Linked DNA regions of Elephas maximus indicus. The protein of the gene in region 4 purifies or fractionates together with the protein of the main gene of each other region. This does not show direct contact. Links are inferred from orthologs where the notes say so. Each region holds a gene or a part of one and is shown on either strand. Other genes may lie near its edges.

The links.
Region 1: the proteins of PPP1R12A (region 4) and PPP1CC purify together in Homo sapiens (affinity purification with western blotting; 3 studies listed by BioGRID, with this or other methods). This does not show direct contact. The link is inferred for Elephas maximus indicus from reciprocal best matches to the Homo sapiens genes PPP1R12A and PPP1CC.
Region 2: the proteins of PPP1R12A (region 4) and RHOA fractionate together in Homo sapiens (co-fractionation; 3 studies listed by BioGRID and IntAct, with this or other methods). This does not show direct contact. The link is inferred for Elephas maximus indicus from reciprocal best matches to the Homo sapiens genes PPP1R12A and RHOA.
Region 3: the proteins of PPP1R12A (region 4) and RPA1 fractionate together in Homo sapiens (co-fractionation; 3 studies listed by BioGRID, with this or other methods). This does not show direct contact. The link is inferred for Elephas maximus indicus from reciprocal best matches to the Homo sapiens genes PPP1R12A and RPA1.

What each region holds. Positions count from the first base shown.
Region 1 is NC_064840.1:9,270,891-9,278,898, forward strand, and holds the start of PPP1CC (serine/threonine-protein phosphatase PP1-gamma catalytic subunit), read right to left. Parts: upstream 3,015-8,008; 5' UTR 2,797-3,014; coding exon 2,742-2,796; intron 1-2,741. UniProt on the Homo sapiens protein: Protein phosphatase that associates with over 200 regulatory proteins to form highly specific holoenzymes which dephosphorylate hundreds of biological targets.
Region 2 is NC_064838.1:53,868,125-53,875,190, forward strand, and holds the start of RHOA (transforming protein RhoA), read right to left. Parts: upstream 3,015-7,066; 5' UTR 2,925-3,014; intron 1-2,924. Other genes in the region: TCTA (T-cell leukemia translocation-altered gene protein), read left to right, coding at 3,527-3,749, 4,097-4,151, 5,720-5,762. UniProt on the Homo sapiens protein: Small GTPase which cycles between an active GTP-bound and an inactive GDP-bound state.
Region 3 is NC_064837.1:19,912,387-19,920,162, reverse strand, and holds the start of RPA1 (replication protein A 70 kDa DNA-binding subunit), read left to right. Parts: upstream 1-4,775; 5' UTR 4,776-4,901; coding exon 4,902-4,934; intron 4,935-5,416; exon of another isoform or gene 5,417-5,728; intron 5,729-7,776. Other genes in the region: SMYD4 (SET and MYND domain-containing protein 4), read right to left, coding at 3,095-3,228. UniProt on the Homo sapiens protein: As part of the heterotrimeric replication protein A complex (RPA/RP-A), binds and stabilizes single-stranded DNA intermediates that form during DNA replication or upon DNA stress.
Region 4 is NC_064822.1:142,343,992-142,351,202, forward strand, and holds the start of PPP1R12A (protein phosphatase 1 regulatory subunit 12A), read right to left. Parts: upstream 3,009-7,211; 5' UTR 2,780-3,008; coding exon 2,543-2,779; intron 1-2,542. UniProt on the Homo sapiens protein: Key regulator of protein phosphatase 1C (PPP1C). Mediates binding to myosin. As part of the PPP1C complex, involved in dephosphorylation of PLK1. Capable of inhibiting HIF1AN-dependent suppression of HIF1A activity.

The DNA.
Region 1 (8,008 bases), on a different chromosome or scaffold from region 4:
CTGTGCCACAACTCGGTCTTTTCTCTAACACATAGACTATCACACCAAATCAACAGCTGATTGCTTTTGTCTCTAATTTCCCCATGCACGCTTTTACTACGTAGTTCTGTAAAAAGTGAGCATCATTTATACTAAGGAACAACCACTTCAAGGTTTTGTCATCAGCAAGGCAGAGCTCAGATAAAAGCTTCTACCTTCCCAGGTGGGTTGCAAAAGTGATGCCCAGCTTCAGGAAAAACTACTCCAAGTTCACAGTCAGACAACGGCAAAGCCGTAAGGACCAAGGTATAAATCAACACCAAGTTTTCTTAAACAGGACTTCACTTTTGAGTTCCCCTTTGTTACTTCTAAGCTAAGCTGCACAGTCCTGGACCTTAAATATCAGATAATTCTGAACATGTAAAGAAGTCTCACAAGGCCACAAAACTCATTTTCACATATACTGAAATATTAACTAAAAGTTTTAGGGAAAAAGGCTTTTGAAATATGTATTACAAACACTACCAAATTTATTATCAACGTCTCCCAACTGGGATGTATGCGTATCCTCGATGAATTATCTTGCGCAGTTTCTCTACCATCTTAACACCCACAAGAAAGAAATCTAAGAATACTGGGCAGCTAGCCTATTCCTCAGGCATTAAAATGTTCTGTTTTCTTCGTTTTCATTGGAAAAAACCTAGGAATTAAGAAACGATGACTGATCTCATTTTAGATGGGCCCATTTTATGAAGGTAAATTTCTTAGCACAATTTTCTTCCTTTTTAAGATTAAAATTACCAAAATCTGTTAGGTGAATAGTGTTACAGGCAAACCAGAACTTCAAGATTTAAATTATCTTAAAATTCTAATCCATGTGGATTCTAATTTTTTCGGTTTTTCTCTGAGAAATACCCCCCCCCCCAAAAAAACCACTGCCAGAGAGTAGTATATTCCGACTCACAGCGACCCTACAGGACAGAGCGGAACTGTCCCATAGGATTTCCAAGGAGTGGCTGGTAGATTCGAACTGCCGACCTTTTGGTTAGTAGCTACCTTTTGGTTAGCAGTCAATCATTTAACCACTGTGCCACCATAAAGCCATTCTAATATAGCCATACACCCCTGCACAGATGTGCAGAAGTTAATTTTAAAAACTGAAATAAAAATATTTAACAAAACGTTCGTTTTTCACTGCCAAAACGACCAACTACTGCTTCATATCAATCAAAGAACTGTACTAAATAACATGAAAAGTATTTGATCTTTTAGTCTCTGGTTCTTATAAGCACTGAATGAATGACAAGGTTTTCACCCACAAATGGTGGTGACATTTCAAGAGCATTTCAGGGGTCGTGAAATGAGTTTTCTTTTAAGAAAGCTACAAAATACTGTAGAACAGAAGAAAAATGAAAGGCACTGATTAAGAATAGGAAAAGATTTTCTCAGGCATTTCATTTTAATGACTTCAAAAGATCTGCAAAACCCACTTTGCCCAGTTGTTCGTGCTCTAGCATGCACTCTGTGCATGCAAATTCAACCCTATTTGAGGACAGCAGTATCAAGCAAAAAGCAGTTACAACTCAGCCAAACTGACAACAATACCCTGTGCCCAGATCAAAAAAGGAAATTATGTGGCTGAATTCTTCCCAAGTCTGGGATGAGATATTTGTATTACTGGACATGCTTCCGAACCCGAAGGTGGCAGAGCAATTTCAGCTTTCCCTTTAAAATCTGAACCTCATCCCTCTCCCTATCAATAGGAGTCATTACCACGCACCTCAAACCTTAGGTTAAATTAAAGTTTTGTTTTAACCTTAGTTTATTCATGGGACATCACCTTCCGTTTTCCTTTGCACACAGGGTCATCTATAGGGTGACAGCTGAATGTAGCGAGTTCTGGATCCTGGCTTTGAAGCCTGTCACTTACTAGCTGTGTGACCTTGAAGAAGTGACTTCACTTCTCTGTGCCTTAGTTTCTTCTGTAAAACGGGGGAAAAAATTAAAAAAATAGCACCCACCTGGCAGGGTTGTGGGGACAATTAAGTGAAATCTGTGTAAAGTGCTCATAGAATGCCTGACGTATAGTAAGCGCTTTAGAAGTGTGCGCTATTATTGTAATTTGATGGACGCAAAGCACTTAACACAGCGCTTAAAACCTGGCACGTTTGAAAAGATGTTAACGATACTGTCACCCTCGCTGCTTTCCTGCTCAGGAAAAGAGCGCGGAGATCTCTTCAGCATAAGAACAACTTAAAACACTTGAGGAGCAGGGGAACTGATAAAAATAAAGCAAGATAGGAAAAAGCCCCCAAAGCTGGTGGAACCCAACCCCATCAAATTGCTTTTTGAGAAGAAAAGTACCAGAAACTCGATCCTGGCCGGATTAAAGTCCGGAACCCGCCGTCCTGCAGGTTGGATTGGAGCCCCCGACCTTCTCTCCTGCAAAGACTGGTCCACTTTGCGGGGCTCAAGGGGCAGGGGCGGGAAACGTGGGGGTGCGATGCGAAGTTTTCAAATTTCAGGCCAAGAAAAAGACTGCAACCTCGTGCAATGAATGAGCGGGGCCGCGGGTTGAGCCAAGTTCGGGATCCCGGCCCGGCCTCCCTCCAGCTGCAGCCCCCGGCCCGCCGGCCAACTCGCGGGTTCGCTCCCCCAGTGCTGCAAGCCCAACCGGCCCCCCAACTCTCCTCCCGCGAGCGCCCCTGGCTGCCCACAGCCCCAGCGCTCGCCTCCCCTCAGCCGCCCGCCGTCCCTCTCACCTTCCAGTAGCCGTTGGATGATGCTGTCGATGTTGAGTTTGTCTATATCCGCCATCGCCTTCCCACCGCCGACCCTCCCGCAGCGGCGCCGCCGCCGGCTCGCGCCCGGGACTCGCACTCCTTCCCCACGCCACGAGCACAGAGGCAGTGGTGGCGGCGGTGGCAGCAGCCGCGGCGGGTCCCCCCAGCCGCCCCGCTCCCTGCTTCCTCCTTCTCTCCCCACTGGAACCACGAGAAGAACAAAATGGCCGCCGACTCCTCAGCCAACCTCGGGCGGCGCACGGATGCGCGCGGGGGAGTGCAGCGGCCCGACCGGGACTTCTTTATGGGCCATAGGGCGCGCGGGAGGGGGCGGGCCCGGGCGCGGAAGGGGGCGTGGCCAGAGCGCGGGAAGGGGGAGGAGACCGTTGAGAGTGACTGGGCCCTCACGCAGATCCTTCCGCCAAACGGGTCGACCAAATAGGCCCCCCGGCCCGAGCGTGAGTTGCAAAGTTGCACGCGGGAGTTGGGGTTGCGAGGAGAGGGGGCGCGGAACACACGTGTGCGCTCCGAGCTTTGCGGCTTCCGCAGGGTTGTGTTCGTTGGGGCCACGTGTTTGTAGACTTGGCCACGTGGATGTCCAGCAACGGATTTTATGCGGTTCTGGAATTTATGCTTTAAAATAAATCTGGTGTGGGGATGGGGGTGGAGAGGGAGGATAATAAAGAGATGTATGTTGATTTATTTTGCCTTCAGAAAATGTTAACAATTATTCATTCTAAGCGGTGGGAAATATGGGTGTTGTATATTATTTCTCTGCGCACTTTTGTGACACTTACATTAAAAAAAAAAGATGTTTAAAAATCTACACACACACACACAAAAAAATCCATCATCCCTGTCTTTAGATTATCTTTCCTGCACTCGGCAATTACATAATCATCGGAACGGCTACCCTGATTCTAGCCAGAGCGAAGTTGAAAGAGCGCGTGCACAGGAGATAAAGGGAGAGTTTGCAGATTTCGCGCGTCGGAGCTGAGGCCGGAAGAGAAGTTTGCAGAGGCCGGCAGTGCGGGCTGGGGCCGGGTTCTACAGATCCCCAGTGAAACTTCGGGCCACTCCCCTCCCGCTTCCCAACAGCTCCAAGGTGCATCCCTCTCCGTGGGGGCTAGAGATGGTGGCACCTCCGGGGGCTGCGCATGGCTTTTAGTTGGATTTTGAAGTGCAGCCCACACTCAGCAAACATTCTCTTTCCTGACCTTTCCGCACATCTCTTTTTCCCTGCAACGCTTTACAGTTTGGAAAGCCCTTCCCCTCCTCCGAGAAATTAATTTGATTTCTCAAGGGACGCAGGATGCAGGAATTCCCATCCCCAAATGCCCTCGCGGTGATGGCGCCACCTGGGCAGCCATCTTCGGAAGCGGTGCGCTCCTGGGGGCCCTGGCTTCATGCACCTGGGCGCCCCCCCACCCACTACTGTCGCCGGGGGGTTGGAGTGTGGGGCTCTCCTGGCTGTCCGGAATCGCCAGCTCATTCTCCCGTGCTGTGACTGTGTCCGCCGCAAGTCATACTAGTGTCCCTTGTCAGTCCAGGGCACTGAGCCCAACTGGTGACATTCGAAGTCGGTGCCCAGCACTGCTGTGAACAGCTGGTTGGTGAGGGCTGGGTGGCTCACGCCGGAGTCCACGAGACCTTGGGCTGCTCCAGGGCAAGGCGCGTCATCGCAATGGCAATGAGCGCAGGAATCTGAAAGACGGCAATTCATTGGGCAGCCAAATATTTATGGAGCACCTACTCTGTGCCAGGCATTGTTCTGGGCCGAGAAGCAAGGGTGAGCAAGACAGACAAGGTCCCTCTCTCATGGAACATCATCTAGTTAGCCAGACAGACAATAAACAGAGACGCAAATAAAAATACCAGCTTCTGATAAGTGCAGTGGGGAAAAGCACAAACACTGCGCTCATGTTTTTTAGTACGTGCCAAAACATCTCATTGAATCCCCAAGCCAGTTCTAGGAATTGTGTACCATTCCTATCATCCGCATTTTACAGATGAAGTAAGGCACAGAGGACTAGGTCAGTTGCTGAAGGTCACACAGCTAGTAAGTTACGGAGTCAGGGTGGGACATCCTGAAACCAAAGCCCTTGTTCATATTCAGTGAATCCCGAGCACCTAGCACGATTCTGGCACACAGCAGCCCCTTCACAGATAGAGAACCCAATGGAATGATATAAAGATGCATTGAGCCACAAGAAGACTGCTGGAAGTTTCCATATGCAAAGTGGCAGGTGTGTTAGTCTCTGTCGACATCACGTGGTTGTAGGAGAACTTCAGACTGGGCTGGGACGCTGGGAGGGCCTCTATCCACACGCCATTCTCCGCGTGGGCAACTCCCTCCAGAGCCCAGTTTCGCTGGCACATGCCTGAGGGAATTAGCTGGCTCCAAGCCTGAGAGTGGCCTGAGCTCAAGGGGAAGGTCTGAGCAGCTCCTGGGAACCGCAGTTCATGGAGGAAAGAACTGATTCCCTGTTGGTCTTTGCTACCAAGATCAATCCTAGTGGATAATGGGATGAACTCTTCCCCCATCCCGACCCTCCACCTCCCACCCCATCACACCCCCTTGCTGATGCAAGAATTTGCCAGAAAGTCTATTGCCTAATGGATGGAGTGTCCCTTCCTCTTTCCAGGCCTGTTTGCTTATCTGCAAAATGAGGAGAGTAGATTAAAATTTATTTCTTTCAAATGAACTTCCTGCTGAGGAAAATGGGGAGCTGACAGGATTCTAGTCCCTGGCCCTCTCAAGTCAACCAAAGCAGAGCCACAGCACACAGTAACTGCTAAATTGATATTAACTATCACTACTATTGGAACCCTGGCGGCGCAGTGGTTGAGAACTTGGCTGCTAAGCAAAAGATCAGAAGTTTGAACTCACCAGCTGCCGCTCCTTGGAAACCCTATGTGGCAGTTCTATTCTGTGCTATAGGGTCGCTATGAGTTGGAACCATAGCGATGACTCATAGATTCGCTAATGAGTTGGAAATGGGTTTGATTTTTTTTGTTTATTATTACTATTAAAGGAGGTCTGGTAGTGCAGTTGTTAAGCAGCGGCTGCTAACCAAAAAGGTTGACAGTTTGAACCCACTAGCCAGCCGCTCTACAGCAGAAAGATGTGGCAGTCTGCTTCCATAAAGATTAAAAAAAAGAAACAAAAATGAAACCCATTGCAGTCAAGTCAATTCCAACTCATAGTGACCCTATAGGACAGAGTAGAACTGCCTCATAGAGTTTCCAAGGAGCACCTGGTAGATTTGAACTGTGGACTCTTTGGTTAGCAGCTATAGCACTTAACCACTATACCACCAGGGTTTCCTCTATAGAGGTTACAGCCTTGGAAACCCTATAAGGTGCTTCTACTCTGTCCTACAGGGTCACTATGAGTCTGAGTCGACTTGACGGCAATGGGCTTTATTATTACTATTACTACCACGCATCTGTCAGTTTGTTGTACTTTGGTGGCTTGTGAGTTGCTACGATGCTGGAAGCTATGCCACCTGCATTTCAAATACCAGCAGGGCTACACAGGGTGGACAGGTTTCAAGGAAATTCCAGACTAAGACAGACTAGGAGAAAAGACCTGACAATCTGCTTCTGAAAATTAGCTGATGAAACCCTACGGATCACAATAGAATACTGTCTGATATAATGCTGCAGGATGAGCCGTCCGAGGTTAGAAGGCACTCAGAACACACAGTGGCCACAACAATGGACTGGAGCATACCAACAATTGTGAAGATGGCACAGGACTGAGCGATGTTTCCTTCTGTTGTCCGTGGGGTTGCCTTGAGTTGGAGCTGACTCCATGGCTACTCACAACGAACCCGAACAACATTATCACTGTTATCTGTTTAATACATTGAGCTTTCGTGTAACATTTGAAGTAATTTAAAATAAGAGATTTGAAAACCAATTATATCTGTAAGCCATCCTTAGGCTTTGAGGGGGATCTAGCTGGCTGGGTAGAGACTGCAGTGAACTGGGGAACCCACATCCCATCTAAAGGGGTGGCCACTTCCCAGCTCCAGTTTGTTGGAGCCAAATGGGAACATGGGCCCAGTGTGGCCAGATCCTCAGATTTTTCAGGAGAATTTGGATTTTTATGTAAAATGTTTCAATCTTTAAAATTTGGTCAAGAATTCAAATTCTTCTAAGACACAGTCTGCAGCAGACAAAGCATGTCTGTGGGCTACATTGGGTCCCTGGGCGAAAATTTGAATTCCCATCTAGAAGATTGGGGTGAACTCTTTTCCTTCCATTCCCCCCCAATTTGGTGAGCACTAAGGATTATCATTAAATGATTGAAAGAAGTGCTGACGATGAGGTTCGCCAGCACGTCTGGACCTATCTGGTTATCCGGAAGGCTCTGTACCAAGTGGGGAACCACAGGAAACAAAATATGGATGAATCCCCTTGACTAAGTCCATAGCTTTTGTGAAGCGAAGCTTTATTTCAATGTCCTACTGTGTTGCCAGCAGATACTCTTTTGACCACCGTTTATTAAGGCCTTACTATGTGTCTGGCACCGTAGTGAGAAGCTGGGGACATAGAAGTGAGCAAGTCAGATGTAGTCTCTGCCCTCATGGAGCTCCCATCCTAGTGGAGGAGACAGACAGAAACAGATGAACCAATCAAAGAAGACAGTTTCAGAGTGGTATGCTATGACAGAGTTAAAGGGATCATGTGGCCACATAGGAGAGGGACTCTGAGAAGGTGACATTTGAGTCAAGACTTGAAGAATGAGAAAGAGGAAGGCGTGGGAAGAACTATATAGGGAAGAGCTTTCCTGGCAAAGGGAACACCAAGTGCAAAGATCCTGGGGCAGGAACAAACTTCCTGTGTTGAAGAAATGGAAAGAAGGCCAGAGAGGCTAGAATGTAGAGTGAAGGAGAGAGTACTAGGAGGGGAAGTTGGAGAGTGGGCAGGGGCCAGATCATTCGGGGCCTGGTAGGCCGTGGGAAGGCATCTGGATTTTATTCTAAACGTAATGAGAAGTCACTGCAAGGTTTGGGGCAGAAGAATAACATGATCTGATCTCATTTTTTTAAATAAGCTTTTTAGTTTAGATTTGCAGAAAAATTCAAAGCTAGTACAGTGCCTGCCCATAACCTCTTCACCCAGTTTCCCCTAAGGTAAACATTTTACATAATCACGGCATTGCTCTTAATTTTCCATGACACCTAAATCATAAAGAAATGTTGATTCACGAAATATCCTGTAACATCAGTACCCAG
Region 2 (7,066 bases), on a different chromosome or scaffold from region 4:
TTATCACTAGCAGCCGTAATGCTTAAACTCAAGCTGCTATCTACAAAAGCTCATCAAACCCAAATTAAAAAAACCTCTTAAAAGCTGAAATACCAGCCTGTCTCCTGGCAGAGTTAACACAAATCTCTCCGCTCTAGGACAACTAAGAAGACCCTAAGTAGCACCTCAGCTCCCGCTGTCACTGCTTGGTCGGACCCCACCCCATGGACAGGAAACACCTGAAGATCTGCCTGTTTTACTCCCCTAATAACTTACACCACCATATGACCAAAACCAAACCCGCTGCCGTCAGGAGTCGCCTCCAACTCATAGGGACTCTCTAGGACAGGGGAGAACTGCCCCATAGAGTTCCCAAGGAGTGTCTGGTGGATTCAAACTACTGATCTCTTGGTTAGCAGCTGTAGCTCCTAACCACTAAGCCACCAGGGTTTCCCCACATGACCAGGACAAACTTTTAAAAGAGTTAACTGACAAAGAATCAGGACTATGAAAAAACTCCAACAACAAAACCACTCTCACACATGCACATGCACTGTTTACTTGATATGAGCAGTTTCTCCCAAACCCACTCCAAATCAATACTCAAAAAGGCCCACAGTTACCTGATAACATTTTAGGCTGAACTATGATGGATTTGGAGAAAGGAAGTCTGGACTCCCCTCTGGAAAAAGTTGGTTCATCAAGAAGACCCAAATACCCAAAGCCAGGACTAGGCCAGCCACTCACCCTGCACATTCATTTATCTGCATCATTTAACTGCTACAGGACCACCCAGATACAGAGGAGAGTGTTGTGAAAGCCAAAGAACTGTAATTTGTTTGACAAATTTTTTTAGACTCTCCTAAACCAAAAAAAAAACCCATTGCTTTCAAGTTGATTCCGAGTCATACTGACCCTACAGGACAGAGTAGAACTGTCCCATAAGGTTTCCAAGGAGCGCGTGGTGGATTCGAACTGCCAGCTTTTTGGTCAGCGGTCAGCTCTTAACCACTATGCCACTAGGGTTTCCAAAGGCAACCAGCAAGGTGTAAAAGTGGAAAACACTGGACTAAGTTGGAAGCCCTGGATTTTAGCTGACTCTAGGCCTGATACTCGGGAGTGCGTGGAGAATACCTTACAAAAAAAAATTCTAATCTGCTCCCCCAACAAGATACGTGAGCTTGGTAAATTTACTTAAGTCTCTGGGACTCAGTTTCCTCATCTGCAAAAGGGAGGGGAAAGGGTTGGATTACAAGTCCTGAAAATTCCTTCCAGGTCTAAAATTCTGGTTCTATGAAGTCAGTTGATAGCTATATTCCTACTCTCTTCTCCCTCCAGCACAGATCTCTTATGAGAACAGAGATCATAAGTCTCTAGGACTAAAATCTGACTCAAAGCGCAAGTTCCATATCATATTTTTTGTTACATTCCCAAGAGCCATCAGTGATCTACCACAGTAGATAGGAACTATCCTTAATACAATTTATCAGAAGATAACCTCAATAAGTCATCTTTTACAATTCAGAAAAAGTCTTGTATTTTCAGTGCAAACAACGTCACTTGTGCCAAGCCCTCAAAATAATATGACCACCAATTCAGTCATGTCTAATGGAAACCCTGGTGGCATAATGGTTAAGAGCTACAGCTGCTAACCAAAAGGTCAGCAGTTTGAATTCACCAGGTGCTCCTTGCAAACCCTATGGGGCAGTTCTATTCGGTCCTATAGTCACAATCGACCCAAGGGCAACGGGTACAGGTAAGGTGACAATCATGTACATGTCCAGACTACACATTTGTGTGGGGGACACTAAAACTCAAAACAAAACTAAAAGTGGCTCAAAAATTCTCACCACATACAATATTTAAAAAAAGCTTTTAATACAGAAGTATTTTTTTCCCTCATTTTTGGCAGAGAAGAATATAATTGATTACACGCCTGCAAGAAAAAATTTACTTCAAAAGGGTAAAGAAAAAAAGAACCGACCAGATCACAAACAGGTAAAATTCTTAAATCAAAACTATCAAAAAAAAAGTGTCATTTTTTACCTTCTTCCTCAACTCTGAGGCAAAAAATATGTCATTTTTCCGCCATAAACTACTAGACATGGTTTTTGATCAAATCGATTTGTGCGCAAATAATGCTATTTAATGAAGACTACCTGTAACTGTGGATCCAATCAGTAACTAGGGACAAATGTTTAGATGCTTCCTAATCAAAATAATAAAAAGGACTAATTAAAATTGCAAATTAATACTCTATTTTGGTGGAACATAGATCATAAAAAATGCTCTTTTCAAGCGGAAAACGTCCTCACTTTTTCTTATTTTACAATACAAATAGCCCTGATCCCTAAGATTACAACACAATCTCCAAAAACACTACATTAAAAAAGGAAATGTACCCCAAACACTGAATTCAAACAGCATAAAACATTCATATATTACACTGAATGTAAAAAAGCAAAATGGAGTTGTAAAGAGTAACTTTCCCATTTCAACTCCTACAGCCACGCGCGAGTCGCAAAGGCCGGCAGTACCGCGCGGTCGCGGGGCCGGATCCGGAGCCCCCGCCCTACCCGGCGCGGCCGCCGCGACTGCTGGGCGGGGAACCGGCGCGGCAGTGAGAGGAAGCGCTGGGGAGGGGCGGCGGACGAGCAGGCAGCTTGGGCTCTATCTACCAGGCCCGACCGGGCGGGGGAAGGGGCGCGGGCGGCGGCGGGGCGCGCTTCCGGGGCCTGAGCGGGCGGGGCGTCGCCTCGGGGCGCGGGGCCGGGACCGAGAGCCGGAAGCCATGGGCCGGGGACCGTGGACCGGACACCGGGGGCGACCGGCTGGAAGCAGCAGGTGGGGCGCGGCTGCGGAGGGGCGGCAGGCGGGCGACCGGAACAGTGCCGAGCGGGCGGACCAGAGGCGCCGCGGCGCTGGGAGTGAACCCTCCCGCTCACCTTTGGCGGCGACTCCGAGTCCGGCCTCTTCGTGGCGAGGACGCCGCTCCGCGAGTCGCGAGCTCGGAGGCGCTGGCTGGTCGCTGAGGAGGCGGCGGCTGACTAACGAGAGAACCGAGGAAGGACGGCGGGCGGCGGGCGGGGAGCTCGAGCGAGCGAGGGCGGGCGGTGGCGGGAGGGCGGGGAGCGACGTGCGCGCCCCCGGGCGCCCGGCGGGCTCGAGCCGGCCACAGTCGCGGCCCCGCGCACGCGCGCGCACTCACAATTCAGCCACGATTGCTCAGGAGCGTGTCCACGCCCTCAGAGCAAGGCGCTTAACCAATCATTGCAGCCGCACGGGGCATCACGGGAACTCTGGGGCTATAAAAGACCTGGTTGCTATTTTATACCCCTCGAGTCACTCATCCTTTAAGCCGGGTGGGTCTAGGTGCGCGTGCGCGTCGTAAATACTCCTCCCCGAACTGCCAACTCTTCGCGCAACCGCGGTAGGCCTTCCCCGCCTGGGCTCACGCGTGCGCACTAACCGGCCTGGCCCCGGAAAACTAGACGCCTGCGCGGTGGGGACTACAGTGACAGTCCCTGGGGTGGGGCGCAGGCCAGTCATGGCGGAGCCTTGGTCCGGGCAGTCCTTGCAGGCTCTGCCGGCTACGGTGCTGGGCGCACTGGGCGCCCTGGGCAGCGAGTTCCTGCGGGAGTGGGAGGCGCAGGACATGCGCGTGACTCTCTTCAAGCTGCTGCTGCTGTGGTTGGTGTTAAGTCTCCTGGGCATCCAGCTGGCGTGGGGGTTCTACGGGAACACGGTGACCGGGCTGTATCACCGCCCAGGTGAGGTTCCCCATCAACCTCCGCGGGCCGCCCGCCCCCAGCGGACTGTACGGCTCCCCAGGATCTCCCTAGACTACCGCTGGTTCTCCGAGAGTCTTATCAGAATTTGACGCTGAACCCATACTGTTTAATGCCACCATATCATTTCACGCCAGAATCCCCACCAGCCCACCCATCGCATTGTAACGTTCCCCGAATTCCCACCAGACAATACCGCTTATCCCTTAGGACCCCCACCTGACTCTTCACCAAACAATATAACTGGTTCCTAACCTAACCTGGGCTGATGCCTGCCCAGAGCCCCACCCCACAGCCTGCTGCAGCTCTGGCTGTATTCCTGCCCCCAGGTCTGGGCGGCCAGAACGGATCCACACCTGATGGCTCCACGCATTTTCCTTCCTGGTGAGTATCTGTCCCCACCCCAGCCCCATGCTTGGCAGGCAGAGGACGTTCCTGTGCCGGAGGTGGTGGGAGGGGGCTCTCGGGGTGGGAGTCCACCAGTTTTAGTGGCCTTTGCAGCAAGCTCCAAGGTGTACAGCCAGAACTCAGGCTTCAAGCTGGGGGTGACACTGATACCTGGACAGCTTCTCTAAGCATGCTGTCCAGCAACCTGTGGAGTGGGTGGTAGGGACATTATCACCATTTTACAGATGAGGGAACAATTTCAGAGAGATGAAGTGACAGGTCTGTTGCATTCCTCTCCAATGTAAGCCCCTCATTTGGGAAGCCAGGAGTCTCTGTCCTTAGAGCACTGACTGGCCTCATCAAGGCCAGCCTCCTGATGTGTGAAACATGAACTCACTAATCAGGCAGTCATTCAGCTAATCTGAGCTGAGACCAAATTCTGTCTTAGTTCCCTGGAGCTGCCGTAAAAAACAGTAATTAATTTCTCACAGTTCTGGAGACTAAAAGTCTAATTAAGCCAAATTGGGGTTGATTCCTTATGTAGGCCTCTCTCCTGGTTTCTGGTGGCTGCCAGCAATCTTTGGCTTTTCCTTGCTGCTTATTGATGCATCTGCTTTCATTGTCACATGGCATTTATATTCCCACTACATGACATACTCCCTTTTTATAAGACACCCCTCAAAAGAAATTAGGACTAGGGCCCACCCTACTCTGGTTTGATCTCATTTGACCTAGTTGATAAGAAAAGAGAAACTATTTCCCCAAACAAGGTCATATTTACAGATAACAGGGATTAGGACTTCAACATAACTTTTTGGGGGAAACATTTAATCCATAACACTCTATCCTCTGTCTACCCCAAGTTCCATTTCCTTCCCATGTGCAAAATACGTTCATCCCATCGCAAAAGTCTTAACCCATTCCAGTGTCCACTCTTAAGTCCAAAATCTCATCTTTTGAATCATCTAAATCAAGTATGAGTGACACTCTGGGTGTTTTCCAACCTGGGATAAAATTCCTCTCCATCTGTGGACAGATGAAACCTAGAATACAGGTTATTTGTTTCCAAAATATAATGGTGGCCCCTATAATACATAGGAGCTTAGAAATGAATGAGCATATGGAGAGGAGGGACCTGTAGGGCCCTTATCCTAAGGTCCAGGAAACTATTGAAGGACTCCAGGAGGTGGGGCCTGATCTAATTTGCCTTATAACTGCCTGTGTCATGGCAAGATGAAGCAGTCCAAGAGTGAAGGCAATAGGCTAGTTAGGAAGCCTGCCACTGCCCAGGTTTCTGTCTTGTGCAACTGGGGAAGGATGGTGGCACCATAAGGTGGGGACCCAGGAGGAAGAACAGGTCTGCAGGGGGAAGGTGTTGAGCCCAGTGTGGACTGTGGGGCCTGTGAGGCACTAGGAATCTAAAGCTCAGCAGAGAGGTCTGGATCGTAGTATGGCATTACTGAGCCCAGCTCAGCTCCCAAGAAGGGTCTGGGATGAGCCAATCCCAGGGACTGCTCTGCTGCCCATGAAATAACCCCTCTCTTCTCTCTCTCCATCACTTTCAGGGAAACTGCAGCAAATGAACCTCTCAAAACCCACAGAGAATAAAAGAAGGCAACAGGGAGTCTCCTGGCTCCCACATTGGGTTCTCCTGCTGCCAAGTCCTGTGGATGACTACAGGAGGATTGGGGCTGGGGACAGGGAGTACCTTAGCACTTGCAGGGCTGGGCCTCTGCTGCCCTCAGCCCTGCCTCCAACAGTCCCAGGCATTGGGTCAGTGAACTTTGCCTCTACCCTGATCTGTGTGCCTTAAGGGGGAAAAGTATGCTGTTCCTCTCTCAGGGGTTGGAGCTCAGGAGAAGCCTTTGGATTGGGGAAGCCAACAATCCATTTTCTGTCCTATATCTCCTGGCCCTCTTCCCATCCCCCTGTGGTATGACCCCATAGAGATTTGTCTCCTTGAGAGGATGAGGTTGCGGTTGACCAGCCATGGGATTTGTAAGGAAGTCTGTTCTCCCCTAAGCCCTGGGTTCCCTGGATTCCTTTGGTTTTGCTTTGTTGGCAGGGAGCCAGGGTATCCTGGCCTGGGCCAGGCTTTATACTCTGGGGCGGCTTCCTGCCCGCACTGCTGAAGTGCCCGTGGGGTCTCAGGTCTGCACCCTGCTCCCTCACTGGGAAGTATTGAGAAGTTACTTAGCTATTTAGATATAAGGTCCTATGGCAGGGGGAGCTAGCACCATTCAATCATGGAGGCACTGAACACCATCTCCCTGGCCCATCTAGATCTCTTTAGGTATGACCCAGGCAGAGGAAATTGTCATTTCCGAAATGTCCTATTCATATTCCTCAGTCTTTCTGGAGGGAAAATTGGGTGCCTGAAAGGGGCAGAGCCCACCAGCTGAGCTCCTGGGGTGGCCTCCCACCCCCGGCACTGAAGTGTCTATGGGTCTTGAGTATGTACCATGTCCTTCACTGAGGTACTGGGCAGTTAGTACAGAGCAGCCCCATCATGCACTGCATCCTCATCACTTCCCACCTTGACCTGGAACAACAGGATCCTCATCCTAAGAGCCCCAAGGCTTAGCATCTCCTCACCAGCACCATCTCAATGCAGAAGAGCCACAGGTCAGGCAGGCCTGCCACCTCCACAGCAGGCCAGGGGAGCTTCCAAAGGTGTGTGTTGCAAAACATCCCCAAAGAAACACTGGTTGCTGAAAGCAATGAGGCCCTGTACCTGCCTCACTCTCTAATGGCAATATCTCTGCCTGCCTCTGCTGGGCTACCAGCTACCTCAGTGTCCCACTGCCCTCTTCCTCCCAGTTAGAGGTCACGTTTCGATATGGCAGCCTTTGCCTAGGCCATCCTTAAGGCAGAGGGGCATTGGAAGTGGGGGCTGTGATGAACACACTCCA
Region 3 (7,776 bases), on a different chromosome or scaffold from region 4:
TTTTGGAAACCCTGTAAAGGCAATTCACAGATCCTGTAGTGCTTTCCACTGTTTTTCAAACTGGAGGTCAGGACTCAGTGAGTCATGAAATCAATTTAGTGGGCCTGGATTAGCTTTTTTTTTTTTTAATTGAAAGAAGCAGAAAATACCAAAGTGCATCATGTTTAGTAAGCATCTAGGCCCTCTTCCTTGGTGAGCTCATCCAGTCTCATGCCTCTAAATGTCATTTACAATTCTCAAATCTGTATCTGTAGCTCAGGCCTCCTAAACTCCACTCATTTAGACATCTCAATTTCCACATATCTAAACGTAAACTCCTGATCTTCCTTCCCAAAACAGCTCCATCTGCAGCCTTTCTAGGTGATGGCAATTTTATTCTTCCACGTTTGACCCTTTAGGCTAAAGTCCCTAGAGTTATTTTTTTATTTCTCTCATTCTCTAACACATCACGTCCCATCTGTCAGGCAGAATGCCCACCTTTCATATGGGAGAACAGGGTTCAATTGCAGGCCAATGCAACCACCACCTGTCTGTGGAGGATTGTATGTTGTTATGATGATGAACAGGTTTCAGCAGAGATTCCAGACTAAGACAGACTAGAAAGAAAGGTCTGGTGATCTACTTCCAAAAATCGCTAATGAAAACCCTGTGGATCACAACAGTCCAATCTGTAACCAAGGCTACCACCCTGGTCCAAGCTACTATCTCATCTCTTACCTGGACTGATGCAGTACCTACCCAACAGGTCTCTCTGCTTCTCTCCTTCCCCCCTAGTTTATCCTCAACACAGCAGTAAGCGTAATCCTTTAAAACAGGGGTCAGTAAGTTTTTCTTAGAGGGCCAGACAGTAAATACCCTGGCCTTACAGGCCAAGAGGCAAAATCAAAGACATTATGTAGCTACAGGAGAGAAAACAAATTTCCACAATTTTTTGTTGACAAAATTAAAAACATAATAATAATTGTGTACAATGTTTTGTAATGCAGGTCTACTCATGAGAAAAAAATTTTTAATGATAACATTTTACTTAATTGGGGTTCAAGGTCAGTGTTCTCCATCATTAAATTGGTTGCAAATGTTTATGTGTAGAAACTATTCTTAGTTGGGCGATACAAAAACAGGCCAAAACCAAAAAAATCAAACCCACTGCTGTTGAGTTGATTCCGACTCATAGTGACCCTACAGGACAGAGCAGAACTGCCCCATAGAGTTTCCAAGGAGTGCCTGGCGGATCTGAACCGCCAATCTTTTGGTTAGCAGCTGTAGCACTTAACCACTGTGCCACCAGGTTCTCCCCCCCCCCAAAAAAAAGGCAGTGGGCTGGATTTAGCCTGCAGGCTGTAGGTTGCAGCCCCGTTTTAAAAAACAATCATATCACTCTTCTCTCAAAACTCTGTGCATTTGCTTTCTATTGCTTCATACAAATTGCCAAACTCAGCAGCTTGAAACAAAGCTCGTTTATTACCTCACAGGTCTATAGGTCAGAATCAAAGAAGGCTGAGCTGAATTCTCTACTTAGGGACTTACAAGGCTGAAGTCAAGGTGGGCTCTTATCTGGGAGATCAGGGGAAGAATCCAATTCCAAGCTCATTCAGACTAGTGGCAGAATCCAATTCCTTGTGGTTGTAGGTCTGAGGTCCCCAGTTCATTGCTGGCTGTCAGCCAAGGGCCACTCTGAGCTTCTGGAAGATGTTGGCGTTCCTTGCCATGCGGCCCCCTCCATCTTCAAAGCTAGCAATAGCACACTGAATCCTGCCATGCTTTGAATCTCTCTGACTTCCCCTTCTGTTAACAGTTGGGAAAAATGCTCTGCATTGAAAAGTTTCACCTGATTGGGGCAGGCATCCTCAGATAAGCTCCATATCTCAAGGTCAACTGACTTGGGACTTTAATTACATCTGCAAAATCCCTTCATTGCAGTCCCTAGATTAGTGTCAGATTGAATAACCAGGGGACAGGAATCTTGGGGGGCCATCTTTAGAATTCTGCCTACTACACCCCGCAAAAGCTTCCTACTCAGAGTAAAAAGACAAGGCCCTTACCAGGGTCTACATGATCCGTGCCATCTGCTCTCCCCCAATCCCCATGCCTGCCCCATTATATCTCTAGCCTTGTTTCCTACTACTCTCCCTCTGGCTTACTCTGTTCATCCACATTAGCCTCCCTGCTGTTCCCTCAACATGCCAGACACATTCCCAGCGTAGGGTCTTAGCTCTAGTCTCTGCCTGAGATGCTCTTCTCTTAGCTTGTTGACTCCTTTACCTCCAATCTTTGCTCAGGTTTCACTTTTTCAATAAGGCATACCCTGACCACCCTACTTAATACTACCACCTGCACTCTTGCTCCTGGCACTGCCTATTTCTCCTACCCTGTTCCACTTTTTTTTTCTTTCCCTTACTGTACCTATCACTTTTAATATATTACATACTTCGTGATGTTTATTGTCTCTCCCTCCTTGATAGAATTAAGCTCCACAACTGTTGACTATTCTGTTCGCTAATTATTCCAAGTATCTAGCACTGTACCTGGCATAACGTAGATGATTAATAGGTATTTACTGAATGAATGAAGTTTCAGGAAATTCCTATTTCTGTTTTCTACATATGTGTGTAGTAGATTGTGGTGTAAAATGTATTTCTTACTGAAGGTGCAGTCAAGAGAGTTTGAAAACTGCTGGAGTTAAACTATATGACCTATAAGGTCCTTTCCAAATTTGAGCACTTAACAAAATTTCACATGCAGCTAGTAAATCTCCACCATATCCTTTGGGAGATGGCAACGTTCACAACCTAGTGACTATAGCAAGGCACCGAGTTACTGAAATACAACACTGACACAGAGAAAGCTAAATAGTCATCCTTACCTGTTCTGTACGGTTGCTATGAGTTGGCATCGACTCGACAGCAACGGGTTTGGTTTGGGTTTTTTTTTTTTTTTTTGGTTCTATGATTGTGGGTTAGAAAAGACTGGAAACAGGAAGAATTGTTGAATGCCCCCAAAACACAAAAATCTGAAATTAAACTTTCCACAAAAAGAGATATTACTTCAGAGCAAACAAAAGAGAGCAAGTTCCAGATCACTTCTAGTCACTTACTGAAAAAGCGAAGAGCAGTGAAGGAAGACATCACTCAAAGTCCCTGCTGTAGAAATTGTGTCCCGAATGGACGTCGGGAGCAAAGCCCACTTCCTGAGTATATATGCTTTCCACTCATCCACAGGCAGATCCATGCTACTTTAGATCTGTAAAATGAGTAATAAGGAATCAGATTTCTATAAATGCACAATGCCAGACAATTAAGATTTTATTCAAGCAAAGTTAACGCAAAAAAAAAAAAGCAATTCTTTGGGTCTTTTCTATATTTGTTTATATGGATGTTTTGTTGTCTCGTGGGGCAGTGGTTAAGAGCTCAACTGCTAACCAAAAGGTTGGCAGTTTGAATCTACCAGCCGCTCCTTGGAAACCCCATTGGGCAGTTCTACTCCGTCCTGTATGGTTGCTCTGAGTCAGAATCGACTTGAAGGCAGCAGGTTTTTGTTGTCTTATAACAAATGTCTGAGGAAAGATCTATATCTTCTCACACCAACTCACTCAATAGTAACTGAAAGCCTACTACATTCCTGGTACCACGTTAGGTGATTGCTAATCCATGATGAATCAGAGTAGATAGCTACCATCACTGTCCTCTTGGAAGCTCTACCTACTTAAGTTGCTCAAGTCAGAAGTCTGGGAGCCACCAGATTTTTCTTTTTTACTCATCCCGGCAACTATTCAGTTAACAAAGATTTCTCTCCTACGGTTCAGTTTTCTCCTTCAACTCCCAGGCCATTCTTTCAGTACAGGCCTCAAGATCCCTTGCCTGACATCCTTTCCAGCATCATAACTAGTCTCCTTGCCCTCAGTTCCCCCGACTTTGAGAAAGATGTCAGTCCTCTGCCTTAAATGCATCAATGCTCTTCCTAGTACACAGGGAAGACCAGTACCAACTCTTCATTATTTGACCCTTGGCTTCCTTTCTAATTCTCAAGTGCACTTCCTTCTCTGTACTCTACCATACTGAAATACTCATAAGCTACCTCTTGTCCCCCAGTTTGCGAGGCTATTTCATCTCTCCAAAATTTTTGCAGAGTCTATTCATTCGGCCAGGTTCACCCTACTCTCACTGGGTGTTCACCTGGTAAACTCCCATACATCCTTCCAGGTTGTATTCATACGGCACCTCCTCCTGGAAGCCTTCCCTTGATCTTCCATCTATGATTGCAGTATACTTTGTGTCTGTCCGGTGCATACCTACTTTTAGTTTGGGCTACTCACGGTCGGTGGCTACTCCCCCGACAGACTGTGCTCTCCTCTGAGGGCAGGAGCTGGGTCTTATTTACCTTCAGAGGCCCCCACAGTGCCAAGCTCAAGGCCTGGCACCGGCAGGCGTTCGCACTGGGCTGGCCAAGGAACAAAGTCACTGCTTTGCCTATATTTAGCAGCAGAGTTCCCAGGGAACAGCTCTAGCTCTCCTCCGGGCTGCCAGTCTGTCTCCCCCTAAAGACAGCGCTGGGTACGCTCCCAAGAGCCCGTTCGGGAAGCTCCCGGAACTGGGCCCCTGGCGCCCTTAGCTGTTTCCGCGCAACTCTTGGCACGTCCTGCGGCTCGGCGCTCCGCCCCCACGCCCCATCGTCCCGCGACAAGACCCCGCACGCCCTTGGGCGGGTCACGTGGGCCGTCCACCTCGTCTCGGCCAGTCCGGTTGCTGCTTGGCCCCTGGGCCCGCCCCGGCGCCGCACGCACGTCGGGAGGTGGCGTGGCGCGCGCAACTCCTTGGGCCAATCGTTTTGGAGAGCGCGAGACGCCGGGGAGCGGAGTGGGGGCTGCGGAGGAGCCGGAGCGCCGGAGTTAACGCGGGGGAGCCATGGTCGGCCATCTGAGCGAGGGGGCCATTGCGGTGAGCGGCCGCCTGGCAGCCGGGCGAGCGGGACGGGGAGCTGTGGGCCCTGGAGGCAGGGAGTTTGGAGATGTGCGGAGTGGAGGAGCGGAGGGGATCTAGGGGCGGTGGGGAGAGGACTCGAGGGGAGTAGATGGCGGAGGGGAACCGCCGAGGTGTCTTTCTTGTAGGGTCCATCACTCATTCGTCGAAGGATTTTACCATCGTCTTTTAAACATGGTCACGTGTTTCGTATCTAAGAAAACAAAATAAACACCTGACTCCCCGATTTCCCTGCGCCTGCCACTGTCTCCTCCCTTTTCCCCATCTCAGCCAAACTTCTGCAAAGTTGTTTTCAGCTATTTCATTGCTTCACCTCGCATTAACTCGTTAACATGCTCCAATCGATCATCCCCCGATCGCTATAGAAATATCTCTGGCTTAAGTTACTGGTGGTCTCCACGTCGTTAAATCCAACAGATACTTTTCAGTTTTCAACTTACCTGAGTTCTCAGCAGCGTTCTCAGTCTGTCGAGCATCGCTTTCTTGTGGTTACACTCTCTTCTTTTGGCTCCTGTGGGGCAGCTTGGTTGATCTTTGTAAATTTTGTTGACTCGAGGCTCTCTTCTAGGCCATCCTCTCCCAAGGCAACCTCATAACCATCTATGTATGGCAATCATTCACACATTTCGTTGTCCCGAGCTGCCTTTATGCTGAAAACAAGCCTGTTTACCGGATATCTCAAAGGCATCTCAAATTCAACATGCCAAAAGCAAACCCGTTATCTTCCTTAGTCTGGGTCTGTCAGGGTTCTTTATTTTGGTGAATGGCACCATTGTCGGTTAAATTATGCTAGCCAGAGATTGAGAAATCATTCTTGTGACGTCCTCCATCATCCTGTATGTCCGTTTACTTCACCAAGTCCTGTATATCTTACCTCCACATGTGTTTCTTAAATTCGTTTATTTCTCTCCATACACAGTGTCATGTGTTGCCTGGATTACTCACTCCCTACTCAATACCCTCTTCCCTTCACTCCTGTCATCCCAGATTTTCACTGCTCTCTCCCCAGCCTCATGGTCTTTTTTAAGTTCCTGGTATATTCCATACTCTTGCCTTCCGCGGGACCTTCGAACATGCTTTTCCCTCTGCCTGTTGCCTGAGTGGTTCGTCACTCTCCATCTCTCTAGCTAACGTTATCTTCAAATCCCAGCTCAGCTGGGACTTCCTGAGGGAAGCCTTGTTTGACCAAATTTTGGGAACGTACTGCTTCTTCACTTACCACCTGTGTAACTTTGGGCAGGATACTAAATGTTTCTCTGCCTCCTTCCTCCTCTTAAAGTGAAGGTGATGATACCGAGTGCCTATTCCATACGTGGGAGGATTTAATGAGTTATTCCATTTAAAGTGCTTAACCCAGTGCCTGATACATAGTAAATGCTCAATACATGTGTCCTATTTTATTTATTTTGTTGTTGAGAGTATACACAACAAAACATACACCAGTTCAACAGTTTCTACATATACTATTTAGTGATGTTGATTGCATCCTTCGAGTTGTGCAACCATTCTCATCCTCCTTTTCTGATGTTACCAATTTTTTATAACCACTGATTTAATTTTACATTTGTAGGTTTATTTAATTAAGAGCAGTTACTTTTTGACTCTCCCACTGGATTGTAAATTCCATGAGGCCACTAATTATGTTTGCTTTTTTGCTCAGCATAGATAGAATTGCCAGCACTGCTTTAGCTACTGGGGATACTGTGCCCGATGTTCACTAATCACATGAATGCATTAACCAAAACCAAACCTGTTGCCGTCTAGTCAATTTAGACTCGTAGTGACCCTGTAAGACAGAATAGGTTTCACAGTGTGGCTGGCAGATTCAAACCGTCATCTTTTGGTTAGCAGCCAAGCTCTTAACCACTGTGCCACCAGGGCTCCCTCAATGCATGAGGCAGTGAAAACAAAGGGATACTGATGGATGGGGAAGAAAGGGAGCTTAGGGGAAAGCAGGAGGGGGAAGAAGGGTAGGTGGAGGCCTGTAAATACTTGCTAAAATTTGGGGATGCAGAAATGCTGAGACCTGAAAAGTGATTGCAGACTGTAGTCCTCATTCTGTCCTATAGGGTCGCAGTGAGTCGGAATTGACTTGACAGCACAGGGTCATTGGGTTAGTCCTCATTCTGACTCAACAGCACTGGGTCACTGGGTTAGTCCTCATTCACTTTGTAGTTGCTACCTTGCACCTTAAAGAAAATTATGAATGGTTCTTCACTTTTAAAAGGAATGATCATGAGATAATTTAAATTTGCTGAGTGATTTTTCCCTGTATTCAAAATTTTAGAAACATATTTCCAGTGTTGGGTAAAGTGTTACTTGAGTTTTACTCAAATGAAGGAAAAAAAAAAAGACGTTTGCATGTGTGTATGTGTCTATCCTGGCAGCGTGTGGCGTGAACTTTTGTGAACTTTGATTATGAGCTAAAACAAGTAGTATCATTTAAGTGCAAAAGACACAGGCCCAAAGGGGAAAGAAAAGAGCACACGAATAGTAGAGGCTTTTTGAGCAAAATAAAAATAAAAGATTATGCGTGGAACTGTTGTGATAAATGGAATAAATGGCATTTCTATCTTAAGTACTTGGGTTATAGAAAGAAAGGGGAAGGAACTAATATTTCTGCTTTCCAGTGTGCCAGACACTTTGCAGATAACAATCAGTACTTATATTAACCCTGTAAGGTGGGTTTTTATCATTACCCCCATTTTACAGATGAAGAAATGAAAAGTGCAGAGACATTGAATCATTTGTCTATAGAGCAGGGACCCAAATTCATGTGCCCTTGACTATCACATTCTGT
Region 4 (7,211 bases):
AAAAAAGTAAATGAATATTCCAAATGAATAACTAATAATTAATCTCGTAAAAATATCTTAGGTATCTTAGATCTTTTGAGAAGTTAAATTATTCAAGGTCTACTAAAAAAAAAAAAAACAATGGATCCTTTTAGGTTTATAATTTAAGTTATTAAAACAAGTAGCATTCAGGAGGTTTCTTAAAAGCTTAGTTTTGTGTGTGTGTGTGTGTGGTTCTTTTTAAAAAAGTTATATTTATCACCTTTCATTATCTGCTGTCCTGAATTTGCCCAAAGTGAACTCCTTGTTCTCACAGCCACAATGCAAAAAAAAAAGTATAAGAAGAGTTGATAAATGAGAAATACCAAGTGGAGAGAACGCAATAAAAATTTTAATGCTTCATATTTTAAAGACTTTTGCTTCACTGACTTAAGGAATGTGCAGATAAATTACAAAAAGATACTATGCAAATGGTTTATGTATAAACTTGGAAACTTCTACTTAAGTACTTGTCAACTAAAACAAATACTCAATAATACTCCACCTATATAATGCCAAACTAACCACTGAATTCATTAGTCAGGAAGAAATTAGTGTGGTAATTGTTGCAACATTGTACAAATGGGGGGGGGGAACAAGAGAATCTGAAAAGCCTGTTAAGTGCGCTTTCTCTTTCAGTACCTAAACCAGTATTAGATTAATGTATAAAAGATTCTCATCCTCCTTCAAGCCAATATATTTGGGTGTCTCTACAACAATAATAGGAAGTTTAAATTTCTATTTGACAATTTTAATAAGACATACTAATGTAAGAAATTATCCAATCACGCTGACCTCAGGGATAAAATAACAGCTTTATCTTTTAAAATTACACTTGAAACAAATTTGAAAAGATTCATCTTACATAATTACAATATCATTTGAATGCCACAAGTTTCTTTCATTTTCAAATGTCATGTTTTTAAAATCTAGAGTTATGCTGTGCCTTAAAATCAAGCAAGGCTAAAGAAAGTTTGCTATACCTTAAAGAATCTAAATTAATGGAACTGAGAAAAAGCTAAAGACCAAGCTATATCCTTACTGGGTACCACATTCTGATGTCAAGATTTTCCTGTTAATTTATCCATCATTTCAATTCATCCAGTCAACTCTGTAAACAAAGGCTATAAGCCAACTATGATATGAGAATTCAACTAAATAAAACTTAAAATAGTCATCATTCACTTCAACAGGAAGCAGTAAAAGGAAAAATGCTACCACACACCTCTCTTTTCAAAAGACAGCAAGCTAATATGCATGAAATATAAAGCCTTTAAGTTTCAACCTCCCAAACAAGTTTTTGCTACAGTATTACTCAAAATAAAGCTGCAATCTTCCCTTTACAGCCAAGCAACTTTGAAAGATTTCACAAATCTCTTCATTGTCAGAGGAAGCTATTGCTGTTAAGTCGTTTTCTAGTAATTACAAGTTGCCAACTAGGAAAATTCTAAGAGGCTATGTCTTGTTACCTACTACCATCATTTAAAAATTGCTTTTTATGCAGAACTCTACGTGGTCGTGTTGCTTTTGGCCTGTTAAAGGCAAAGCAACATTATCTCTGGATTGCCAATAGTTTCTCCTTATTTGGCTAACATTGAGAGATCCCAATCAGACCACTATAAAACTTTAACATGCACAAAGCATCCATTTTGCGGAAAGTTTGTGACCAGTTTTCCTTTTTCCCACTCCCAAAAGAAAAACCAGATCTTGGTAACCGGCTTTGAAAAGAATGCCCCATGTTTATTCTTCTCTTTCTAACTCCAGTGCACAGCCCAGGACCTGGGGCTCCAGGATCTGTGACACTGCAGCAAACTCACACCGAGTACTGGACCTCAGATAAGCGTTCCGGTCTGGAGATGGACAAGCACTTTTGAACGCTCACTTCCATTCCCTCCCTTTCAGCCGGTGCAGATCAGCTAATTACACCCCGTTTTCTCCTCCCCAGTAACCAAGAGTAATAAAAGAGAAAACAGGAAATCGTTCGCTCAGGGCACTCGGCTTAGAGCTCTTGATTACTATTATTACCATCATTTGTAATCAAGTCCTAAAAAGTACAACAAATCCAATGCCCACCTACAAGCCAAAGATGTCCATCTGCCCGAGAGTCCCTAATGTTCCTTGTAAGTAGTTCTCTTCAGCATCCCCGTCCCCCAAATAAATCCCTGACAGCGGGGCCCAGACACAACCCATTACACCCCTTCTCGTCTCGACCCCAAATCCCAGACACACGACTACAAACGGCCTTAGGGCCCCAAGCAGACCACAGTCCCTTTTCCCCTGTGCCCCGTCAACCAGCCGATTCCCAACTTTAATACCAACTGCTCTGAAGGGGGCCTCAAGCCCTGCGCCCTCCCTCCACCAGTTCTTTCCCTCCCTCCCTCGCGGGAAACCGCCCCCTCACCCCACAGCAGGGAGTCTCTCCCGCCGCCCCCAGCCTCAGGAGGCCCAGAGCGGAGGAGAGGCCCTGACTAAAGAACGGCGGAAACCCTCAGGGTCAGGAGAGCGCGCGGCGGGGTGCACAGACCTGGTGCAGAGCGGTAAGTCCGTCCACATTGGCGTAATTGATGTCGGCGCCGCGGTGCAGCAGCTTGAGGACCTCGTCCGTGTCGCCGCTTGAGCAAGCAGCCAGGAAGACGGCGCCATCGTCGAACTTCACCTTGGTCTTCTGACGCTTCACCACAGGAGGCTCGAGGTCCGTCTCGGAGCCGATCCAGCGCTTCAGCTGCTCGTTCCGCTTCTGCTTCGCGTCCGCCATCTTCATCCCCTCTCCTGCCGCCGGGTCTTCTTATCGCGAGGGGGGAAGGGGGAGGCGGAGAGGGAAGAGAGGGGAGGCAGGGGGTGTGTGACTGTTTCTATGAGGGCTGGCCAGAGGAGGGCTGGGAACCGGGAGGAAACGCTCGAGACTTCCAGTATCCCACAGAGCACTGGGGCGGCGCGCCCGGGCGAGCGGACCTCCCTTCCTACCACAGAAGCCCTCCCGCCCCCGGCCTGGCCACCCGTCACCGGCGGCCACTGTAACGTAACTTCGCGAGATCCGGGCAGGGAGGCGCCCTTCGGCCCGTGCGCATGCGCCCTGGGTCTGTGCCCGCCCCAGGAAGAAAGCTCCCGCGAACTGCGACGGGGGCGGCCCGGCCACCGGAGGGAAGCGGGTGTGGCTCGGGCCGCGGGGGCTGGGACCAACCTGAGAGGGAAGAAGGAGGAAAGGAAGGTTTCCCTGCCCCACTAAAGGCTCCCAGGGTCCCGAAGGCCAACAGTTGGCCTGCACAGCATTGCGGGGCAGACCTGCCTCCGAGGCTGTCTTGGCTCTGCGGAGTCGTTTGCTCAGCACGGAAGATTTTCCTATTGGCCTGCGTTATTTGAATGGAATGGGGGATAGTTCTTGTGTTAGGTGCATGTGGTTTCTCTTTCCAAGGAACTCTGGAAGAATTGGGCGTCTGACAACTGAACAGAACCTTTTTAAAGTTGGATCTGTGTAGCCAAGGACTTTGGACGTAGTTTCCCCAGATCGCAGCCGGAGATGACCGCCTAGTGCCCAGGGTTGGCCTGCGGTCATTGCAGTGGCTTCCTGCCAACACCCAAACGTCCGGCCAAACGTCTTTCCTCTCCTGCCTGGCTTTTTGTTTTTAACCTCCTTACGCTTATTTTGGGTCCTCTTTTCTCTCAGTGCTTTAAGCTGCCCAGTATTCCTCTTGAGCTCAGTTCGGCCTTGTTACTGGTCCTGACCTTTTAAGGGATTTCTGCTTCCTGCTCCCTCTTTTTCTAAAGACGTATCTACTTATGGGGTTCAAAAGAAATGTAAATAATAGCAACCATTTCAACCAGTATTTTTTTTAGGTGCCAAAGAGTCAGTTCCGACTCACAGCGACCCTATGTACGAAACACTGGCTGGTCCTGCTCCATTCTCACAGTCATTATGCTTGAGCCCATTGTTACAGCCATTATATCAATCCATCTTCTTGAGTGTCTTCCTCTTTTTCACTGACCCTCTACCTTAGCAAGCGTGATGTCCTTCTCCAGGGGACTGGTCGCTCCTGATAACATGTACAAAGTATGTGAGACAAGTCTCACCACCCTTCTAATATTTATTGAATACCTATAAGCCAGTCATGGTTCTAGACACTGCACGTATTAACAGTGAAGAGAACGACATGCTTATTTGAACCACCTCTTGAGGCCATCAAAAAAAAAAAAAAATCATAATGAAACACTAAATTTGCCTTGTTTGACTACTCATACTCAAAAAGGAGATACGTAACAAATACTAATATAAGCTCATCTATTTGCTACCGCCACCAACTGATGTTTTTCTAAACACCCCATTGTTTTCATGCAACTGGTTTTTTTTAGAGCGTTTACAAGTAAAATAAGAGAAGTCATAAAATACTACCATCGAAGGGAAATTTAGGGATTGTCTTGACTGAGTTGCCAAAGAACTAACTGATGTTTAATTTCACCCAAAAGCAGGATTAGGATTTATTCAACAAATATTATGCACCTGTTCTGGGTCAGGCATTGTTCTAGATGCTGGGGATACAGCAGTGAACAATTTAGCGTTGTTTACTCTCAGCATGATACCCTTTCCGGTAGACTACATTGTAGCTATCATATTGGAAACTAAAATAGACCAAAATCCGATTAGGAAACAATCTACCTATAAGACTGAATTTCCTGAACCACAAGTCCCAGCATAGAAATATAACCAAAATAAACCAAATCGGTTGCTGTCAAGTCGATTCAGACTCACAGTGACCCTGTGGGACAGAGTAGAACTGCCCTACAGAGTTTCCAAGGAGCAGCTGGTAGATTGGAAATGCCGACCTTCTGGTTAGCAGGCAAGCTCTTAACCCCTGCACAACCAGGGCTCCCAGGTTCAAAATGGAAACCAAACGCATTGCTGTCCAGTCCAATTTCAACTCATAGCAAGTAGAACTGCCGCATAGGGTTTCCAAGGCTGTGAATTTTTCCAGAAGCTGACTGCCAAATCTTTGTCCCACGGAGGAGGCTGGTGAGTCGCCTCTGATCTGTCATTTAGCAGCAGCCAAGTGCTTAACCACTGCACCACCAGGACTCCTCTAGCCCAGGTTGTTGTTATTGGCAGGTGCCATCAGAGGCAGTTCCCAATCTTAGCAACCCTTATGTACAACAGAAGGAAACACTGCTCAGTCCTACAGTCCTCACAGTCATTGCTATCTTTGAGCCCATTACTGCAGTCACTGTGTCAATCCATCTCATTAAGGTCTCCCTCTTTTTTGCTGACCCTCTACCAAGCATCATGTCCTTCTCCAGGGACTGGTCCCTCCTGAGAACATGTCCAAAGTATTTGAGACAAAGTCTTGCCATCGTTGCTTCTGAGGAGCATCCTGGCCTTACTCTTTCCAAGACAGATGCGTTTGTTCTCCTGGCAGTCCATGATATATTCAATATTTTTCACCAACACTGTAATTCAAAAGCATCAAATCTTCTTCAGTCTTCCTTATTCATTGTCCAGCTTTCACAGGCATATAAAGTGATTAAAAATACCCTGGCTTGGGTCAGGCACACCTTAGTCATCAAAGGACATCTTTAGAGGTCTTCTGCGGCAGATTTGCCCAATGCAATACGTCACTTGATTTTGTGACTGCTGCTTTCATGTGCATTGATTGTGGATCAAAGTAAAATGAAGCCCTTAACAACTTCAATATTTTCTCCATTTATCATGATGTTGCTCATTAGTGCAGCTGTGAGGATTATTGTTTTCTTCATGTTGAGGTGTAATCCTTACTGAAGGCTGTGTTCTTTGATCTTCATCAGTTAGTGCTTCACGTCCTCTTCATTTTCAGCAAGCAAGGTTGTGCCATCTGCATATTGCACATTGTTAATGAGTCTTCCTCCAATCTTCCTCCAAGCTTCTCAGATTATTTGCTCAGTGTACACATTGAGTAAGTATGGTAAAAGGATACAACCCTAACCTACACCTTTCTTGATTTTAGAACATGTATTATCCCTTGTTCTGTTCAAAGGACTGCCTCTCGGTCTATGTACAGGTTTCACATAGGCACGATTAAGTGTTCTGGAATTACCATTCTTCAGAATGTTATCCATAATTTGTTATGATCCCAGGTTAGGGATCCTGAAAATACTGTAGGAATAGAAGGTGAGGGTAAGAAGCGTAAAATACACCAATGATAATACCACATCTTGGAATAATGATGGAGTAAGGAGCTGAGAAACTCCAAATTAGCACTAAAATTCAAAAGACCTATTCACTTAAAAAACTCCAGAATACAGCTCTTACAGTGAAAGAAAGGAATTTGAGGATAGCCTTGTTAGCTTTTCTGTCTACCTAGAAAAACTGGCAGCTTATCCTTAGTGTTTTCCAAGAATGTTACGTGGCCTATTTGGTAGCTCATAAAAGTGCTCTGGAATACAGATCAGTAACTCCAGTCTTCATTTGGGCAAGAGGAGTTTCGTAGGAAGTTTGCTATTATTGAAGCAAGCATTTACTTCTGAATATAAAATTAATAAATAAACTAAAATAAGAATTAGTATATAAATAAAATATTAATGGTTAAGTCCACCACACGTCTGCAGTTTGTCATACCGTGGTGGCTTACGTGTTGCTGCGATACAAGGAACTTTACCACTGGTATTTCAAATATCAGTAGGGTCACCCTTGCTGAATAGGTTTCAGCAGAGCTTCTAGACTAAGACATACTGGAAGAAAGACCTCTCAGTTTACTTCTGAAAAAGTTGACCAGTAAAAACCTTATGAATAGCAGTGGAACCTTGTCTGATATAGTGGTAGAAGATGAGCCCCTCAAGTTAGAAGGCACTCAAAATACAACTGGGGAAGAGCACACTTGCCAAAGTAAAGTCGACCTTAATGACGTGGAGGGAGTCAAGCTTTCAGAACCTTCATTGGCTGATGTGGCACAAATCAAAATGAAAAGAAACAGCTACAAACATTGATTAATAATCAGAATGTGCAATGTATGATGTATGAACCTAGGAATATTGGAAATTGTCAAAAATGAAATAGAAGCATAAAGATCAATATCTTAGGCATTAGTGAGCTGAAATAGACTGGTACTGGCCATTTTGAATAAGACAATCGTATGGTCTATATGCCTGGAATGAGAAGTAGAAGAGGAATGGTGTCACGTTCACCATCAAAAAGAATATTTCAGGATCTATACTGAAGTACAACATTATCA